5 linked regions of the Ovis aries genome follow. The main gene of each other region encodes a partner of the protein of the gene in region 5 in a complex. Links are inferred from orthologs where the notes say so. Each region holds a gene or a part of one and is shown on either strand. Other genes may lie near its edges.

What was found.
Region 1: MAP3K5 (region 5) and DAB2IP share a complex: the UniProt entries of both Homo sapiens proteins name them as parts of the cytoplasmic complex. The link is inferred for Ovis aries from reciprocal best matches to the Homo sapiens genes MAP3K5 and DAB2IP.
Region 2: MAP3K5 (region 5) and PAK1 share a complex: the UniProt entries of both Homo sapiens proteins name them as parts of the cytoplasmic complex. The link is inferred for Ovis aries from reciprocal best matches to the Homo sapiens genes MAP3K5 and PAK1.
Region 3: MAP3K5 (region 5) and DCP1A share a complex: the UniProt entries of both Homo sapiens proteins name them as parts of the cytoplasmic complex. The link is inferred for Ovis aries from reciprocal best matches to the Homo sapiens genes MAP3K5 and DCP1A.
Region 4: MAP3K5 (region 5) and ARHGEF6 share a complex: the UniProt entries of both Homo sapiens proteins name them as parts of the cytoplasmic complex. The link is inferred for Ovis aries from reciprocal best matches to the Homo sapiens genes MAP3K5 and ARHGEF6.

What each region holds. Positions count from the first base shown.
Region 1 is NC_056056.1:14,099,393-14,102,906, reverse strand, and holds part of DAB2IP (disabled homolog 2-interacting protein), read left to right. Parts: intron 1-1,767; coding exon 1,768-2,671; intron 2,672-3,320; coding exon 3,321-3,473; intron 3,474-3,514. UniProt on the Homo sapiens protein: Functions as a scaffold protein implicated in the regulation of a large spectrum of both general and specialized signaling pathways.
Region 2 is NC_056074.1:16,260,096-16,263,609, forward strand, and holds part of PAK1 (serine/threonine-protein kinase PAK 1), read left to right. Parts: intron 1-2,226; coding exon 2,227-2,364; intron 2,365-3,514. UniProt on the Homo sapiens protein: Protein kinase involved in intracellular signaling pathways downstream of integrins and receptor-type kinases that plays an important role in cytoskeleton dynamics, in cell adhesion, migration, proliferation, apoptosis, mitosis, and in vesicle-mediated transport processes.
Region 3 is NC_056072.1:47,749,044-47,753,306, forward strand, and holds the start of DCP1A (mRNA-decapping enzyme 1A), read left to right. Parts: upstream 1-1,460; 5' UTR 1,461-1,470; coding exon 1,471-1,605; intron 1,606-4,205; coding exon 4,206-4,246; intron 4,247-4,263. UniProt on the Homo sapiens protein: Necessary for the degradation of mRNAs, both in normal mRNA turnover and in nonsense-mediated mRNA decay. Removes the 7-methyl guanine cap structure from mRNA molecules, yielding a 5'-phosphorylated mRNA fragment and 7m-GDP.
Region 4 is NC_056080.1:98,465,061-98,468,574, forward strand, and holds part of ARHGEF6 (rho guanine nucleotide exchange factor 6), read left to right. Parts: intron 1-1,260; coding exon 1,261-1,462; intron 1,463-3,514. UniProt on the Homo sapiens protein: Acts as a RAC1 guanine nucleotide exchange factor (GEF).
Region 5 is NC_056061.1:62,061,515-62,065,531, reverse strand, and holds the start of MAP3K5 (mitogen-activated protein kinase kinase kinase 5), read left to right. Parts: upstream 1-1,208; 5' UTR 1,209-1,454; coding exon 1,455-1,878; exon of another isoform or gene 1,879-4,017. UniProt on the Homo sapiens protein: Serine/threonine kinase which acts as an essential component of the MAP kinase signal transduction pathway. Plays an important role in the cascades of cellular responses evoked by changes in the environment.

The sequences.
Region 1 (3,514 bases), on a different chromosome or scaffold from region 5:
TGGAGAAAGACAGTATCTTTTGTCGAGGAACAGTTACTGGTCCCAATCAGCACTAGTCACAGTCACTTTTTTGTGTGTATATGAGCTAGTATTTCCTGGGCCTGAACTAGAGTCTCCAGAAGTAGAGCTCCAGAGTGTGTTTTCAGGAGGAGTTCAGGTGACTCCGCGAGGCGAAGAGGCTGGGAGCCCCGGGAAACTAGAGAGATGCTGAGGCCCAGCTCCCACTCTGCACATCCAGTGCTGGGACGAGTGCCTCGTCAATACACAATGGAGGGGGAGGGAGAATGTTCTCAAGTGTTGACGTCAAGACAAGGACCTTCATGTTTACAGTGAGCTACCTGTACTTGGGGTCAAACACTCCCCTCGTCCAGCAGGACCGTCTTGGACTGGCTCACGAGGCTGAGGCTGGAGCAGCAGAGCCGGGCACTGTCTGGCTCTGAGACGGTGGGGACGTCAGTGGCAGGCTGTTAGCAGGCAAGGGCGTTGAGATCAAGGACCTGGGGATGTGGTGTGAGGGACTAAAGGCCCAGGAGGAGGCCGGAGATGCAGAGACCTTGACGCCCCTTCCCCCCGGGTCCCTCTACGTCTTGAGGAGGGGCTGTCCCTACAACCTGCCAAGTGAGGCAAAGTAAGAGTTCAAGTGGGGACACACGTCAGTTGAGAGGTCAGGAGAGCTGACCTGGGCATGTGAAGGGCGACCCAGGCCCAGGGCTGGTCCGGGTTTCTCCCAACTCCACCTACTTCCCCCGTCCACTTCTTCTCGGCCCCCAAGAGCCGTGGCCTCGAGTGGCCACAACCTACCCTGTCCTGTCCCATCACCCCGGACTGGCACTTCCTCTCCATCCCAGACTAAGCCAACTCCTTTCTAAGCCCACATTGAAGCCCCAGGTTCCTGCTGCCTCCAGCCCACTCAGAGCCTGTTCAGCTCCCCCCGAGCCTGCCTTTCAAAGCCCACCTGGTTTTGTGCCTCCTTCCAAGGAGCTGGCTTTTCCTGGGAAGGGGCCAGAGAGAGGCTAGGAGCCTGGGGTGGAGGGTCGGGGACATGGCCTACAGCGGCAGGTGCAGGCCCTCCCTGCCTGAGTCACGCCGTGAGGATCCTCCTCTGATACCTTGTGTTTTTTTTTTTTTTTGCCGGAAGCCCCAACCCCCGCCTGCCAGTCAGACAAGGGGTGGCAGTAGGAGGCTGCAGGTGGAGGCTTCTCTCAGCACAGGCCCCCACTTTGGTGAGCAGCCTGACTAGGGACGGGAGGGAAGAGGCAGAGGGAGCCCCCCGTGGCTTTGAAGTCATCGTTCCTGGTGCAGGACCCTCGGGTAGCAGAGAGCCACTGAGTTGTGGGTTTGGATTTAGCGCAGGGGAATTTTCCGGAACACCCCAGGCCCCAGAACCTACTGTCTCAAGATGCCGCGCTGATCAGGAAAAGGGCCGCTGCTAGGCAGCCTGGCCTGGTGCTGGGAGCTCGGGCCCCTAGTGCCGCAGTTCCGTGTAGGAGCAGCCGTCCGCCCCGCGCCTTGGTGGTGGCCTCTGCCAGGCTCGGTGGCTGTGGTTTGGTTTCGCAGCTGCGCCCCGGACTCTCCCCTTCTTGCCGCCCCATCCCCTCCTCTCCCCTCCCCTCCCTGCCTCCCCTCTCTTCCCCCCTCCCCCATCCCTGGCTCAGGCCACAGGGCGGCAGGTTGGCAGGGCTCTCAGTTGGTCGGGACCCCGCCTGGGCTGCATTCACAGTTCTTCTCTTCCCCCTTCTTTCCCTGTGTGTGCTTGTCTCCCTGCAGTCTGATAGATTTCACCCGGTTACCGTCTCCAACCCCCGAAAACAAGGACTTGTTTTTTGTCACAAGGTCCTCCGGGGTCCAGCCCTCACCTGCCCGCAGCTCGAGTTACTCGGAAGCCAACGAGCCCGATCTTCAGATGGCCAACGGCGGCAAGAGTCTGTCCATGGTGGACCTCCAAGACACCCGCGTGCTGGATGGGGAGGCAGGCTCCCCAGCAGGCCCCGACACCCTCGCCGCCGATGGCCAAGCGCCCGCGACTCAGCTGGTGGCTGGGTGGCCAGCCCGGGCGGCCCCCGTGAGCCTGGCAGGGCTGGCCACAGTGCGGCGGGCAGGCCAGACGCCCACCACGCCGGGCACGTCGGAGGGCGCGCCGGGTCGGCCCCAGCTCCTGGCACCGCTGTCCTTCCAGAATCCCGTGTACCAGATGGCGGCCGGCCTGCCACTGTCTCCCCGCGGCCTCGGCGACTCGGGCTCCGAGGGCCACAGCTCCCTGAGCTCCCACAGCAACAGCGAAGAGCTGGCAGCTGCCGCCAAGCTGGGCAGCTTCAGCAGCAGCGGCGCCGCAGCCGCCCCCGAAGACCTGGGCCGGCGCCCCGGGGAGCTGGCACGGCGGCAGGTGTCGCTGACCGAGAAGGGTGGGCAGCCCACGGTGCCACGGCAGAACAGTGCCGGCCCCCAGCGGAGGATCGATCAGCCGCCGCCACCACCCCCGCCGCCACCCCCCGCGCCCCGAGGCCGGACGCCGCCCACCCTGCTGAGCACCCTGCAGTACCCACGGCCGTCGAGTGGAACGCTGGCCTCGGCCTCGCCCGACTGGGCTGGGCCCGGAGCGCGGCTGCGGCAACAGTCCTCGTCCTCCAAGGGCGACAGCCCCGAGCTGAAGCCTCGCGCCGTGCACAAGCAGGTCAGTGCTGCCAGGCGGAGAGGGCAGGCCACCACCCCCCGCCCCAGGGTGGGGTCCGGCTAACCCCCCACGTCGTGCTGCTCCTCCCGGCCACGTCATCTCCACCCGCACCCAGCTGCCATCCCATGCTGAATGATGCCACACTTGGCCCCATCCCACCAGCTACTTGCCGTGACAGCCCCCCAGTGGCCCTGGCCTAAATCCTGTGAACCAGCTTCACTGTGGCTTGGGGTTCCTCTGCCAGTTTCCCCAGAGACAGCTGGGGTCAGGAAGAAAGAGGAAGGGATCTGTCTGCCCATCTCCAGTTCCAAAGCCTGTTAAAGCCCAACCCAGGGTAGGAGTCCACCTAGCCGCTCGTCCCCCTCCTGCTCTGAGCTGGTCTTCAGGGCTCTGCACAGAGTTATAGGTTCTTCGGGTTAGACACCAACCTGCCAGCCCAAGCCCACTGGCTCTCTCCCAGGCGGCAGAGAAGCCATGTTCAGCTAGGCTCCCCTCCCACCCCCGGCTCGTGACAGCCTCAGGCTGCGTCTAGGAGGTGAAACTCCCCAGGGCCTGGGGCTGCATCAGAGATGCCCGTCCGTCCCTGTGCCGCACCCGGGACCACCCCTTCCCCCCCGCCCCAGTCCCTCACAGTTGTGTTTCATCGCAGGGCCCTTCACCCGTGAGCCCCAATGCCCTGGACCGCACGGCTGCCTGGCTCTTGACCATGAATGCACAGTTGTTAGAAGACGAGGGCCTGGGCCCAGACCCCCCGCACAGGGATAGGCTAAGGAGTAAGGAGGAACTCAGCCAAGCGGAAAAGGTAAAAACCAGACCCTGGCCACTCGGACAGGGTGAGCTGCC
Region 2 (3,514 bases), on a different chromosome or scaffold from region 5:
AGATAAGAGCTGTGAAAGAAATAGTAAGGGGCTTAAGAGAGTAAGAGGAGGAAGGACAGAGAAGTATGCTGTTTTATTCTAGGTGGAGAATGAATTCCTCTCTTATAAGTTATCTGAGGAGACATCTGAAGAAAAAAAAGGAATGAAAAAGTAAAAAGAAAACTGAAAAAAGGAATGAGTTTTGAGATTAATCTGAAGTAAGAATTTTCAAGTTATCAAGTGTATAAAGAACTTGTTTAGAGAACATACTTGATACATCCTTGGGAAAACCAAGGAGACTAATGTCCCTGAAGTGAGTGAGCAGAGTGGACAAGGTTCTGACCATGTTAAGTTAAAATGTTTATTAGACATCTTAAATGGAGGTATTGAGTAGAATTGGGCATAAGAGTTCAGAGTTCAAGAGTGAGCATTCAGGACTCGAAATACAAATTTATTAGTAGGTATTATATGGTTGGTTTATTTAAAAATCAGAGGTAGATGATAATGAGATCACACACTTAGGGAAAGAGGTAGTACTGAGACCTGGGATACTCTCATATTTACAAATTAGAGGAACCAGCAAAGTTGATCAATGGGCAGCCTTCCTGGTAGAAGGAGAACTGAGAGATGTGTCCTGGAGGCCAAGAGGACAAGTGTTTTGAGAAGGAGGATGGACCAGTGTGTCAAATGTGACTAAGTTGCATTTAAGCCAATGCGAAGTAATGATCATTAGATTTGCCTGTGTGAAGGTTGTTGATGACTTTGACAGTCAGTTTCACTGGAGTGATGGGAACAAAAGCCTGATTAGAGTAAATCCACCAGAGTGAAGAAATGACATGTATAAGCAGTTACTTTTCATCGTTTTCTTTCAGAGGAATTTTGCAGTTATGCTAACAGAGAAGTGAGTGGAGCCATATCTTGAAGTAGCGACTAGGGGGGTTTTCTTTTTTTGTTTTTTGTTTTGAAGATGATATTATCATAGCATGTTTTTGTGCTGATGAGAATTATCTAGTAGAGAGGAAAATGGTCATGTACAAGAGGGATGTGACGTCTGTAGGAGAGATAGTGATATCGTTAAGTAGATCGGGGGGTTGGATGAAGTACTGAAGTAAAGATCATCAAATTAGAACTTGGACAGTTTGTTATTATAATAGGAGAGGGAAAGCAGTGTAAGTGAATACAGATACAAGTAGGTTGATAATTTTGATCATGGGCAAATGTGAGAGTTATTCTGATTGTTTTTATTTTGTTATTTATTCCAACCTCTCACTCAGTGCAAGAATTCCCAGAGTTTTGTCGCTAATCAACAGTCATGTAGTTTTAGCCAGTTACCTCTTGGATAGCCCTGATTATTGAAAAGTGTTTTAGTGTACCAAACTGAAACTACCTTCCATAGTTTCTTTCCTTGCCTCCCAGTATTGCCCTGTGGATCCACATGCCACTCATCTTCCTCCACCTTAGAGTGGCCTTGAAAATGATGATGATTAGTAGTAACAGAAATGAGACTGGGATCAAAGTCAGAGGACATAAGCTTGTGTAAACAGCACAATCCCAAGCATATCTCTTTATGTTTTAGGACTTTATCTGTGAAATGGGGATGATAATTCTTGCTCTGCCTATTACCCAGAGTTATTGTGGTCATTAAATGAGATAGTGTTTGTGTAAACACTTATGAAATAAAGTTCAGATTGCTTTAAAAGGTTTAGTATGATGTTTTTCTTTATCTTTCCCAGGATATGGCTTCATATTAGAGAACCAAGATGGCAACAGTGAAACAGATTGCTCCTTTACAGACTAGTTCCTTTATATATTCTTTTCCTGCTAGAAGAGATCAGTTTTTAGATGACTGAGATGATGGCACCAGGAATAATAAATTTCCTTCAATAAATGGGCAGGTGTTTAACTCATTAGGCTAAATGTATAGTAAACCATTTAGATTTAAATCAATAATAATAAATCCTTGGATCTGTAACACACTTCATAAGCTTATGAAATGCTTACAATATGTTATCTTGTTTTATTTTACAGACATGTGAGATAGGCACTGTTATCATCCCTGTTTTACAGACGAGGAAGTTAGAAATTCACTGGAAATTTGGCTCTTAAGTCATATTCTCTCCATTATACCAAAGCTGCCTCTTTGTCTTCTGAAGGCAGAAAGCAGCCGACCATATTTCTTCGGGGCCTGTCTGGGAACCAGGAAAGAATCCCAGGTAGAGCCCAGGGCAATTCTGTTTGTATTTCCAGGCCTTGTACCTCATTGCCACAAATGGGACCCCAGAGCTTCAGAACCCAGAGAAGCTGTCAGCTATCTTCCGAGACTTTCTGAACCGCTGTCTTGAGATGGATGTGGAGAAGAGAGGTTCGGCTAAAGAACTGCTGCAGGTAACTGTCCCTATGTAGGGAGGCACCTAATTCAGAGAATCACATAATGAAGGCTTTTTTGCTGCATTTTTGTATGGCTGTTATAGAACTAGGCTTTTCTCCTAGCACGTCCCACACTCCTATTTCCCTCATCTTGTTCATCCCTGGACCTTTGCTGATGTTACTCCCTTGGGCTCTTCCTCAGCCTATTAAAACTCTGTACTTTTCTAGGCTGTATCTTACAGAGTTATTTTCTGAGCTCTTATTGAACTTTGCCTATATCTTCCTTTGGTGCTTGTTATGTTCTGCCTGAATTAGTCTAGCAGAGTTTGAGTCTTGATGAGAAGAAATTTTTTGACATGCAAATCTTATACAAGGTATATTTTACTGGGATAAACTCAAAAGATAGATTTTTAGGAAAGGATATCAGAAGACATTCATTTAGAGGATAGTTAGTGCAACATTTCAAGTCTTCCCAGTTTCTTCATGGAAACCCTTGCAGATGGTGGGAATGATAGTCTGCTTGTTTGTTCATTTATTTCAATTTTTTGGCCATGCCACATGGCATGAGGGACCTTAGTTCCCTGACCAGGGATCAAACCTGTGCCCTCCTGCAGTGGAAGCTTGGAGTCTTAACCATTGGATCACCAGGAAGGTCCCTATAGTCTGCTTGTTTGGAGTGAGATCCTGACAGGCTGTGGGGAACCTGAAGTTGGGGGTTTACCAAGCCTTATATATTCCACCAGCTTAATCCTGAAGTTATAGCATGATTATTTCATATGGTTTCAAAATTTGCTTTTAGTTGACCACATTATCTATATTTAGCATTTATGTTTCAGTTACAATTTCTCATTACTAGTGTTATTTTACTACATTGCCAACTGGTGATTTAATAAGTGTGACATGCAACTTACTGACGATGAGAAATGTGTAGATTTGCACAGTCAGTCAGTATACAAAAGTCATAAAACTTTTGTATTTTGAGGACTAACACAGGGCAGGGCAGGGCAGGATGTACCATACTGCATCAAATTAAAGCTAACTATGAACAATTCTGTCTTCCTTACTGTTAGTAGATCATAACTTCTATGTTATTAATCCTTGGTTTCCTCTTACCTGGGACCTGAATCAAAATAGGTATTCAGTGGGAGAAAACATTTGCAAATGATAT
Region 3 (4,263 bases), on a different chromosome or scaffold from region 5:
AGATCATTCCTGAGTGTTCATTGGAAGGACTGATGTTGAAGCTGAAACTCCAACACTTTGGCCACCTGTTGCAAAGAGCTGACTCATTTGAAAAGACCCTGATGCTAGAAAAGACTGAGGGCAGGAGGAGAAGGGGAGGACAGAGGATGAGATGGTTGGATGGCATCACGGACTCAATGGACATGAGTTTGGGTAAACTCTCGAAGCTGGTGATGGACACGAAGGCCTGGCGTGCTTCTGTTCATGGGCACAGAATTGTACACGACTGAGCGACTGAACTGAACTGATGGAGAAGGGAATGGCAATCCACTCCAGTATTCTTGCCTGGAGAATGCAATGGACAGACCAGCCTGGTGGGCTATAGTCCATGGGATTACAAAGAGTCAGATACGGCTGAGCTACTAACAAAAATACTTGCTAAAGAAACAGTAAATGAATATGTTTCCTTTTCTGCATTTGTACATGTAACGTGATTCTGCCAACAATGTAAAACATTAAGTATCTTTCCGATAACGACCTCGGGATGTAAAATCATAAACAATACAACTATTAGAGTCAATAGTATTTTTCAGTCAAAAAAAATTCAACCTGCACCCCGTGCACTGGAAGGGTGGAGTCAACCACTGGGCCGCCACAGACACCTCTCGGTTATCTTTTCAGTATAAGAAAAGGTTTTTTATAACAAATCGGGGGAGGGGCGGGGGAAGGGGCAGAGCTCCCTTTATCTTCCACACCTTGTTTTACTCTTTAGCTAGTAACTGGCTCTTTTAAAATGCCTTAAAATATTAAGCAGATGTTTGCTAAAAGGATGAGTTACCGTTTTAAAGCTTTAAATGATGCACGGCAAACAACTTTTCAAGGGTTCTTTCCAAAACTGGATAAAGATTTTCGTGGGATTCAGAGGAAGAAAATAAGTTGACAATAAAAGACATTTCTGTGTAATTACAGACAGGCTAGTCTGGCTTTTTCAAAAACTTCCTTTATAAAAACACAAATAGATCTGAGATCTGGGGTACTTTCCGAGGTACCCCACCCCCACCCCGTTTCTCCCCGCTTTTCTGTTTTCTAAATCGCCCCTGGAGCCCTGCCTTGACGCAGCTAGGTTTCCAGTCTGCGGCCACGGGAAACTAATCCGGCAGGAACGGTGAGAAAGCTCCAGAGCAGCCTTGTTCAGAGCGCCGGTACCTTTCAGCCCGCGGAAAAGAAGAACCTGCGCCCAGGCCTTTCTGCTCCGCCACGCGGCGGCGGACCCCACCTCGAACCTTAGTCCACTGGGACCTGACGACACCGGAACCCGGTGCCCCGGGCGTAGGTTCAGCGGAGCATAATAGCTGCAGTACCGCCCGGCCGCGAGGCCCGGTGGAGAGGCGGAAATTGAGGGCGCTGACGCAGCTGGGGGAACTTTGCCTCCATGGCACCTTCCTGTCCTCGACTCCGCCCCGCCAGAGGGGCTCGGCTCCAGAATTCAAGATGGAGTCGCTGAGTCGAGCTGGGCAAGAGATGAGCCTAGCAGCCCTGAAGCAACACGACCCCTACATCACCAGCATCGCAGACCTCACGGGCCAGGTCGCACTGTACACCTTCTGCCCCAAGGCCAACCAGTGGGTGAGTGCAGCCAGGTGGCTGAAGTCGCTCTCCCGGCCGCCGTCTCTTAAAGGGGCCGCGCCGACCGACCTGGGTAGGGGGCGATGCGGGAGGCCACGGTGGCGGAGGCGAGGCCAGGGACTGGAGGAGAGCCTGGCCGGCGCCTGAGAGGTGTCGGCGCCGCTGGGGATTGGGTGAGAGGAGAGAGGGAAGTAGGTCCAAACATCCGGGGGGAACGCTGATAGAGGGGAGGGTTGAAGAAGGATTAGTCCCCAGGGGTCCAGTTCGAGGATGTGGGCGACCTGCCTTCTTTGCAGGTGTGTTGGAGGATTTGAGACCGATGGAGTCAGAAAGACGCCTGTAAGATTGTCTGAAGCTTTGAGAGTTGTTAGATAAATTATGTATACATAATCTATAAAGTAAACACTCCTCTCCCCCCAACAGATAGATAAATCAGAACCCCCTTCGCAGAGGTTATTAGGATTTAAAGCTTGAATTCCAATTAGTTTCAGTTCTTGGAAAGGCGAGAGGGTGGGGATACGTCCCGCATTTATCAAACTACACTGTGTTTCCAGAGTTTGGAAAAGATTTCAAGGCACTTAGGAAAAGGGCTTGCATGTTAATTTTGTTACCTTGAAACCTTTGGACAAGAGACCTCGTGTTTTCAGCTATGCTGCTGGTGATGTCACCTCTGAATACGCGCATCAGACTTAAGTACTTTTTGCCTTTTTTTGCACGAGAGAGGTTGCGAAAAGTTACATTCAGTTAGTTCACTGATTTGTTAGCCGCTTTGAAGCTTCGGTTGTTGTTTACATGTCAGAATTTCGAGACTTCCCTGGCGATCCAGTGGTTAGAACTCCCCGCTTCAACTGCAGGGGGCAAGAGTTCGATCCTTAGTCGGAGAACTAAGATCTAACAAGCCACGCAAGTGGCTAAATAAAATATAAATAAACGTAACATCATTTCCCTTAAAAATATGAATCTTCTTGATTAACTCATTTAGCTATATAGGCTTTATTTTAAAAATAGTCTGTAAATGTTTGTTGGATTGAATTAATAAATGATTCACATTCACGTTTCAATAAGAATTGAAGTCCTTGTACTAACAAAACAAAGATTATTATCATAATATATTCTTTACAACATAATGCAGATACATGGGTTATATTTAATCATTAATTTTGTGAAAAATCATTTCGCATTTATAAACAGTTAAATCAGATGCAGAGGGTTTTCAGAGTCATCTTGCTTTACTTTGTATCGTCTTTCCTTCACCTCCTGGAATAGGAGGAGGTATGGCAAGCCACACAGAACAAAATTATAGATTTTTTCTTTTAAGTGTGACTGTTTTAGTAGATATTGCTTTAGTTTAAATTGTTTTGGACCATTTTTCTTTTCTTGCTGTGCATATACATTTTTGGAGTGTGGATTGCAGACAAATGGTGAATATTTGGGGCATGGGCTTATTACTATAAGCTTTTATTTCTAGTTTGTCACAGACTTCCAATATTTTGGAATTTTAATTGTGCCATTCTTCTTTAAATACAAGCTGAATGAAATACAAGCTGAAATAACCTGAATTGAAAACTAAGCTGCCGTTATTCATTTGTATCATGGCAGTGATTTGTAACTTTACACAGTTGTTTATTTGGGTAAATTTTCTTTCATTGTGAAGCAATTGATTACCAATTTATTATATTAATAAAGTTTGAAAGGCAAGAAATACATAAGGAAAAATTCCATGATAATGTTTAAGTTAGAAATCAAGATGGTAAATATCTTTTAAAGTTCTTTTTTTCATCCCACCAAATTCAATTCTATATGACTAACATTTAAGTTTGTTAATAGTTTGCTGACTGCATTAAACTGTTTAGATCCTATCTGGCCTGTGAATTGTAGACTAATTTAAAAAAAAAAACAAAACATTTTAACGGTTTAAAACCTAAATACACTCTTGTCACAGCAAATGAAAGATGATGAGTTGTACTTTTTTAATCAAAACGTTTACTTTAAGCGAAAAAAAAGTTTTAAATTATTTGTAAGACCTATACAAATTATACTAAGTAGAATTTCAGTACTCATGATTCTTCAACAAAGGTCTAAGAGTAACAAACTAATTGTGTTTGACAGTAGTTCTTAACTAACTACAAAATTTGCTACTCAGGAAAATATGCCGGAATCTCCCAAATGATGAAACAGTGTCCTGTAAGATAAAATTTCTTTTTTTTCTCCTACTAACTTTGATAAACTTTAAAGGTGAAGTAATGACTGTATACAGACTTTGGCTTTAAAATTAAGAAATTTGGCTAAAACATTTTAGTTTTAAAAAATGAAAGCTAATTCTAGATTTTTTTCTCCTTTAAATTTTAAAAAAGAAAAGAAAAGTTACTGTAGATACAGGCATGTTGCTGGATAGAACATTGCATATCAATTAACATGCATCAATAGACTAAAAAGGATACAAAAGAAACTGGTAACAGTAGTTTGTAGAGAGAAGCTTGACCTGTTCAGAGTAATTAATTTTAAAATAAATAAGTTAATCTTAAACATGACGTCTCCACTGGGACAACTTGGGGTTAGATTATGGGGGAAAAAACTAATTGACTCATTGTCTGTTACAGGAGAAGACCGATATAGAAGGGACCTTATTTGTATATCGAAGGTAAGCTTTTTAAAAAC
Region 4 (3,514 bases), on a different chromosome or scaffold from region 5:
CCAGCAGGGAAGCCCATCCCTTTCTAGAATTGAGCAACTGAGAACCCTATGCAAATGTCAGTTGTTAGTCCAACTTCCTGAGGGAAGTTTGCTGTTATTTCCCCGTCACCAGCCCCCACCCCTCGCTCCCGCCCCCGCCCCCGGCTTATTAGAGAACTAAATAGTGCCTGGCACAGTGCAGGAAATCAATATATATTACTTGCTCTCATCATCATCACTGCCATTTTCTTTTTCTCTTTGCATTCCTATTGAGCTCCTGTATTGGGATGGCTCAGTTATCATTGCATTTGGTCTTAATGGGAGCTTTCTTTTGGAAGGAAGCACCCTAGCTTCTGCTCTTTTGAGACCTTTATTCCTTGTCAAAATCCACCCACTTGCTTTAAGCCATCAGGAGCTATTAGTTCCAAAGTACTTTAATTACTTCCAAAGCACTTAACCTTTTGAGATCAGAGATCCCTTTCAGAAGCTGATGAACACTGTATGGTTCCATACCTCTTGGGCCCTCTCCAATTGTATGCAAAATCTTCTCCCTGAACTTTCTAGTCTCTGTTTTGGGTAAAGGCACATTGTGCCATCATCTTCTCAGGGACCTGTGACAGGTTAAGAGCTCCTGACTTGGGTAACTATGGGATATTTGATCTTTGCATATGACTAAGCCTTAGCCAATTTAAGATATTCTTAGTAATTGGGAGGTGGGAGGCAGATTTTATGAGATGAGGTTAGTACCTAATCATGGTCATGTAATTATGTAAGACTTTGTCTGAGTGTTGGGTACAGGCAGAGTGGGATAGTTTATTAATCTACTTTGTTTCCTAGCTCATTTAAATAAGTATCTTTCAGGAATTCCCTGGCAGTCCAGTGATGAGGACTCCATGCTTCCATTGAGGGGAGCCTGGGTTTGATTCTTGGTAGGGAAACTAAGATCCCCACAAGCTGAGTGATGTGGCCAAAAAAATAAAAGTAGTATCTACTGGTGGGGGACAAGGAGATGAAGGCATGACCCCCTCCAAAATACACATTCTCACAAATGCAAAAGTTTGCCTACAATTTTGAGGGCTTTATTAATCCCCTTCTTCTCACTGCCTGTGTCCCCGAAAGGCCTACCTACATTAGGCCCATTCCTAAGTTAAAGATTCAAGACTGAGATAGACCTGGGGTTTTATCCTTGGTCACCCTACTTTATTTGCCTAAATTCATAGAATTTCTGCCCCAGCCTCGTTGACATAAGTACCTAATCTGGTGTGACTTTTATTTCTCCAGGAGATGACGGAAAATGGAAGTCACCAGTTGATAGTAAAGGCGAGATTCAACTTTAAGCAGACTAATGAAGACGAGCTGTCTGTCTGTAAAGGGGACATCATTTATGTCACTAGAGTTGAAGAAGGAGGCTGGTGGGAAGGCACATTAAATGGGAGAACAGGCTGGTTCCCTAGTAATTATGTCCGAGAAATTAAATCCAGTGGTAAGTCAATCTTTTCAAAGCTTTTTTGACTCTCAAAGCTTTTTTTGGTCTTTGGACAGAAAATCTTGCAGTTTTCATTGGTTCACAGAATTGTTTGTACTGGTATATGTGAAAAAGACTAGAACAGAACTGGGGTAAAAAAAATCTGTGATTAGATATTTTGAAGCCAAGTTGTATTTAGATTACATCAAGGCGGCAAGAAACTAAAAAAGCAAAAGAATTCAAAGCTTAGACAACTGTTCCACCTTAACTATGTCCCTTTCTGCTACTAATTCTAGCCCCTGTAGCCCATCTACAAAGTCCTTCCTGCTACTCCAAGAATCACTGATGGCAGAATACAATAATAAGAGAGGCCATGTGCTCGCTTCCTTTTTTTATCCCTAAGCTCTTTGAGCAAACTTAAGTCTAAATGTCTCAGAGATATGTAGGAGAAATAACAATCACAAGGCTGCAGGAAGCTGTCTGGCCACTTTGATTCTGAATAAGATTGCCCTTAAAGTCATTGCACACTGCTAACCGTTTACCCTTTTTCATGATGATACCCAGAGGAATGCAATCTAATCGCTCATCAGTAATCATTCTAGAACTTTCTTAGGTAACTCTCTTGCCTTTTATTCTTCAAGAAACTAAATCTTGCTTATATTACAAAACCAACAAAAATCCTTGGCATTATAAAAATGTGTCATAATACAGATAAAATAAGGTTCAGTTATTCACATTATTATTGCTCTTCCTGCTTCAAAACTATTTACCCAGGGGCTCCTTTTGAGTAGTTAGCTCCTTGGTATATTTTTTCCTTTGGTTGATGTCTTTTTTGCTTTTTTAATACCTCAAAATTAATACTATTATTTAATAAGATTATAGGCTCACTATAAGTTAAAACTTATCAAAATAGATAATGGAGACAATAAAAGTTCCCCTCTTATCTCTTCCTCCAGATAACCACTGTTAGGAGCTTTTCCCTAAAGTATTTGAGCTGAAATTTAGCTTCACACTTTTCTGTGTTGTGTGTCAGGTGAAGGTAGAGCATTTCCTTTAGTGGAATAAGTATTTACTAACAGATTTATAATTATGTGTGTGTGTGTGTAAATGTCTTAGTATCTTTTAGTACTGGGAATCGAGGAGTTTCTGTTGAGCCCTGAAGTATTTTCATGGGTTTTGCCTGGAGTTTCCTTGGTTTTGATGATTTTCACAGCCGATTTTTACCCCTTTTACATCTTTCAATGTGTATAATCTGATTGTTAGACTCTCTAAATAATTTGACAGATTCACTGTAACTTTGTTCACTGATTCAATGCCTTCATCAGAAAAGTAAAAGGAACAGCCCTTGCTTCCTGGCCTGGCCTGGGAATCCCAAGAATTGTTGAGGGGATGTAGTAGCCAACAGACAGCACGCCACACTCCTTATAGTGTCCCTTACTGAGATGCCTTGTAGCATATAGTCTGGCTCCTCCCTTGTGAACCAACCACCCTAAGTTTGTCCTGGTCTTGGACCCCTTCTCTTGGAGTTTTTCCTAAACTCTCTTTGGTTTACAACTCAGTTAAGGATACACTTGGCAAGCTCTGGCTCTTGTTTGAGCACCTGGGGAACCTAACCCTTAGAAACTCTTTTCCAGCTGTCAAGAATAGGTCTGCCTAACTGGGGTCAGGAGGCCTGCCTCTCAGGGAAAGCCTAGGACTGGAAGAGTATGGACCACTTCCCACCTAGTTTACTGCAATAGCTTCTTAACTGGCATCCCTGCCCCTGTCCTTGTCACTCCTATAGTGTAGTTTAAACTCAATAGCCAGAGGGTACTTTTAAAATGTACCTTGAGCACTATTAAAATGATTGAGAAGGTACTTTTAAAATGATTCTTTTAAAATGTAACTTGAGTACTATAATGGCTCCCAGCTCAAAAACAGTGAAGGTCAAGGTCATCCCAGTAATCTACATGGCCTCCAGGATTGGCCTCTGGTGTCCCCTCTGACCTTCTTTCTGACCTCTCTCCCCCTCACTTGTCCCACTTCAGCCATGCGGGCCTCCTGGTTGCCTGTTCCAGACAGGTTCCTGCC
Region 5 (4,017 bases):
TCCCTGGGATTCTCCAGGCAAGAACACTGGGGTGGGTTGCCATTGCCTTCTCCAATGCATGAAAGTGAAAAGTAAAAGCGAGGTCGCTCAGTCGTGTCCGACTCTTCGCGACCCCATGGACTGCAGCCTACCAGGCTCCTCCGCCCATGGGATTTTCCAGGCAAGAGTACTGGAGTGGGGTGCCATCGCCTTCTCCGATTCACGACAGCAGAGCTATTGAAAACTTGAAAACGTAAAGTACCAGGGGCAGACCCGATAAATTCAGCCTGCCACTCCCGCAGAGCCACTGTCACCAATACACCACTCTCCAGTTGAGGCCGCCTGCAGGACCGTAGTTAAAATCCTCGGGCCTAGCGCCACGCGGGCCTCCCCACGCTACCCTCTTGCTCCCGGCGCGCACATGGGACCCGACCGCACGGCGGTGCTAGGCCGGCACCGGCCGGAGGAGGGCGCCGTGGTTACGGGGAACGTGGCGCGTGCCTCCTGGCGCTGGCTAAGACCCGAGTATTCGCAAGAGAGACTTTTTTTGTGCCATCCTATAGTCGCCTGCTCTCCGGGCTTTTGCCTACTCCAGGTTGTCTTGGGTGGGGAGCCCAGTGGGTGACGGAGGAGAACCTTGGCCTCGCGCGGTGCTCCGGGCTGGGCCGTGGTCCGGGAGCCGCGACGCGGTCGGTTTCGTCCGGACTCGAGCTTCCCAGCAGCGCCCTCCCCCGGGGCGGGCCCAGACTTTCGGTGCCGCGACGAGTGGGCGGCAAAAAGCCGGTGGCGGACCGGGCGAGCGGCTTCAAGGAGCGGGGAGACTCGAGCTACCAGGCTGGTGCCGGGGACGAAGCGGCCGCGGCAATCGGAAGAGAACGGGGCCGGGGCAGGAGGAGGAAACAGAGCCGATGAAGGGGAGCTGCCGCCGAGGAAGGAGGCGGATCCCTTCGGCGGCTGCTGCCGCTGTTCCGGGACGCGGTCCAGGGAGTCTGCCCGCCCGCGAGGTGCTGGCCAGGTAGCTCCCCACCCAGAGGGCGCCCTCCCCGGCCCCTCCCAGGGTGCCCGGCACGGAAGGAGCCGGGACCGCGTTCCCGGGTGGCCAGGGCGCACCGCACCCGGAGAGCGGCGCCCTTGAGCCGCACCGCCTAGCAGGTTCGCGAGCCGACTTGTCCGCCGGCCAAGAAAAGGAAGCCCTGTCCCTTCCCGCTCAGCCCGGCTCCCCACCCCTTGTACTCTACACCCTGCAGCGGGCGAGCGGCGCGGCCACGGAGGCGCCGAGGAGGGGCGAGCCGCCGCCGGGCAGCGGCGTCCCTTCGGGGGAGAGGGCGCCGGAGAGGAGGCGGCGGCGCGGCGCGGAAGGCGCAACGCGGGATGGCAGCTGCTTAGCAAGGCGCGCACGGAGCAGCCCCGAACTGTGGCTGGCCAGACGGTGCGGCTGGGCGGGAGACGCCGCCGCGGCAGTCCGGCCGGGAGAGATGAGCGCGGAGGCGGGCGAGGGCATCACTTTCTCCGTGCCGCCCTTCGCCGAGGGCGGCAGCTACCGGAGGGGAGGAGCGGCGACGGCGGCCGAGGGCGAGGAGACCCAGCTGCCACCGCCGCCACCGGGCAGCTTCTGGAACGTGGAAAGTGCCGCCGCTCCCGGCGCCGGGTGTCCCAGTGCCACCGCTGGGAGCAGCGCCACCCGGTGCCGGGGCAACTCTGGGGGCGGAGGCGGCCGACGGACCACGGTGGCCTATGTCATCAACGAGGCGAGCCAGGGGCAGCTGGTGGTGGCCGAGAGCGAGGCCCTGCAGTGCCTGCGGGAGGCGTGCGAGACGGTGGGCGCCGCCCTGGAGACCCTGCATTTTGGGAAACTGGACTTTGGAGAAACTGCGGTGCTGGACCGATTTTACAATGCAGGTGCGTGCGACTTTACAATGCAGGGCCCCAGCCTCCGCGGTCGGGGGCCACCGCAGGGGGAAAGCTGTTGTTTCCCACCCCCACCCCCCTGCTCCCGTAGAAAAAATCGATCAGTTTCTGGGCAGCAATCGAGCATCTTACTTATTTACTTCTTGCCCCACCTTAGGGGCAGTGAGCGGCGCTGCGTGACTGCTCGGCTCGCTCGCAGCTTGTGGCAGAGAATCTGACCCCCCGGCCGCCGGCCCGCTCTGGGAATCCAGGGGTGCGTGTGGTCCTCTTGAAGAACTTCTGTTCGCCTGCAGTGCGAGTTACTTGTCCCAGTCAGCCCTGCCCTATTCAGTGTTTTGGTTTCTCTTCTGTTAGATTTGGCCCACATTTTCCTTCTATATATACCTGTGCCTGTTTTAGAAGATGTCCTCATTTTTTTCCGTGTACTTTTGAGAGTACAAAAATTCTGACTTCTGCCACGCAGCCAGCTGCACGCAGAGTGGATCTGTGTGAATTTGCATGTTATGTCACGATCTTCCCAACTCCCTTTCCCTGAAGTTTAGTGGCTTGATTTCCCATCTCTTACCAATTTGAATTGTCAAGTAATTACTTTGAAAAGCAACTTTTGTAACTTGACACTAAACTTGCGAGATATCTCTGTTGGAATTTTGGTGAAAAAGAGCAGAGTATGTTTTTTATGACTCCATATACCCCGATGGGCTGGCAAGTAGATAATTTAACATTATGTAAAACGCTGATATGCAGTTTTAGTAACTAAGTTAGGTTGGCCATTAAAGTGTGCCCATTAAAGTGACTGCTAGAGTAATTCACGAAAAAAAATCTTTTCAGCCTATTACAGATTTCAGAAAGTGTCACTGCGATTCAAGTGACTGAAGCAATTTGCTATCTGCTAGCAAATGTTAGAGATAAAAGCATGTTACTGAAATTAACCTTTAGCACCCTGTACAACCAATGTTGAGAATATATACATTTTTTTTAATAAGTGTGGGCATAAAATTTGATTTAATGGTGCTTTCAGACAATAAGTTTCTTGCATTGTGATCACATAGAAGGTTTTATATTCCAATCTTGTTTCCAGTTCTGATTCTCTTCAGTCTTTTCAGAACACCTGAAGAAGGCTTATGTCAGTCTTGGAATTCAGCCAAAACTGAATATTTTAAGAACAAGAACTTCATGTTAAGGAAGCCAGATTAAATAAACTAGGATTTTCTGGTTCTGGTGTATTTTACCATCTTAGTCTTCATAACTGGACATGGGTAGAACATAGTTTAGCTCGGTTCTTTGTGTGACTTGCTGTAAAAATTACATAAATATAACATTTCTAAAAATTACAGCATTTTTATTTTTGAATTATAATTTGGAAAAAGCTTCAAAGAACTGAAAGATATATGAGGAAAACACCCAATGAAATGCTAAACCTATTTTTATTGTTTTGATAGATTGGGTATTTTTTTTATAAAATAATCTTTAAGCTAATTTGAAAGACTTTCCTAACAAGGTTCATGTAATGTTTATTCTCCAAATACTATCTCTGGGAAAGGGAGAGAGAAAGATTAGAAGGTACCAGACATTTGAAATGTATCTCATTTAATACTCCAAACAAGCCTATGAGGGAAGTAGTACTTAGCTATCTTCTTAGATGAGAAAACCAAGGGCTCCATCACTGGTTCAAGGTCATGGATAATAACTGGTCAATGGAGGGTCCCACTTTGAGTGCCTGACTCTAAAAGGTCCGGCTTCACCCTTGCTACGTCCATTTAGCTGGACTGATTTATTCTCAGAATTAAGAGAGGGAAACGTCAAACTCATGGTAGAGAGCTGGCAGGGACCCTGTGAGCCATTGTGTGCTTTGTGGAATAGTGGGGAGGAGGGCACATTTTAGGGAGACCAGTGTTTCCGGGCCAGCTCTGTCCCATCCCACTGGTGAGCTCAACTAGGCAGGCCCCAGTTTCACCCCTGCCTGTGACATGAACCCTCAGGTCTCTCATTCAGCAAGAAAACGTTGAAGATGTGGCAGAATGAAAATGGTATCGGTTTTGTTTTCTAAACTGAGGGAGGCCAAGGTGAACAGTAGTAGAACTCGACTTCTGATTTCTAAGAGAGCACTTGCTTGTCCTCTGTAAAGGGCCA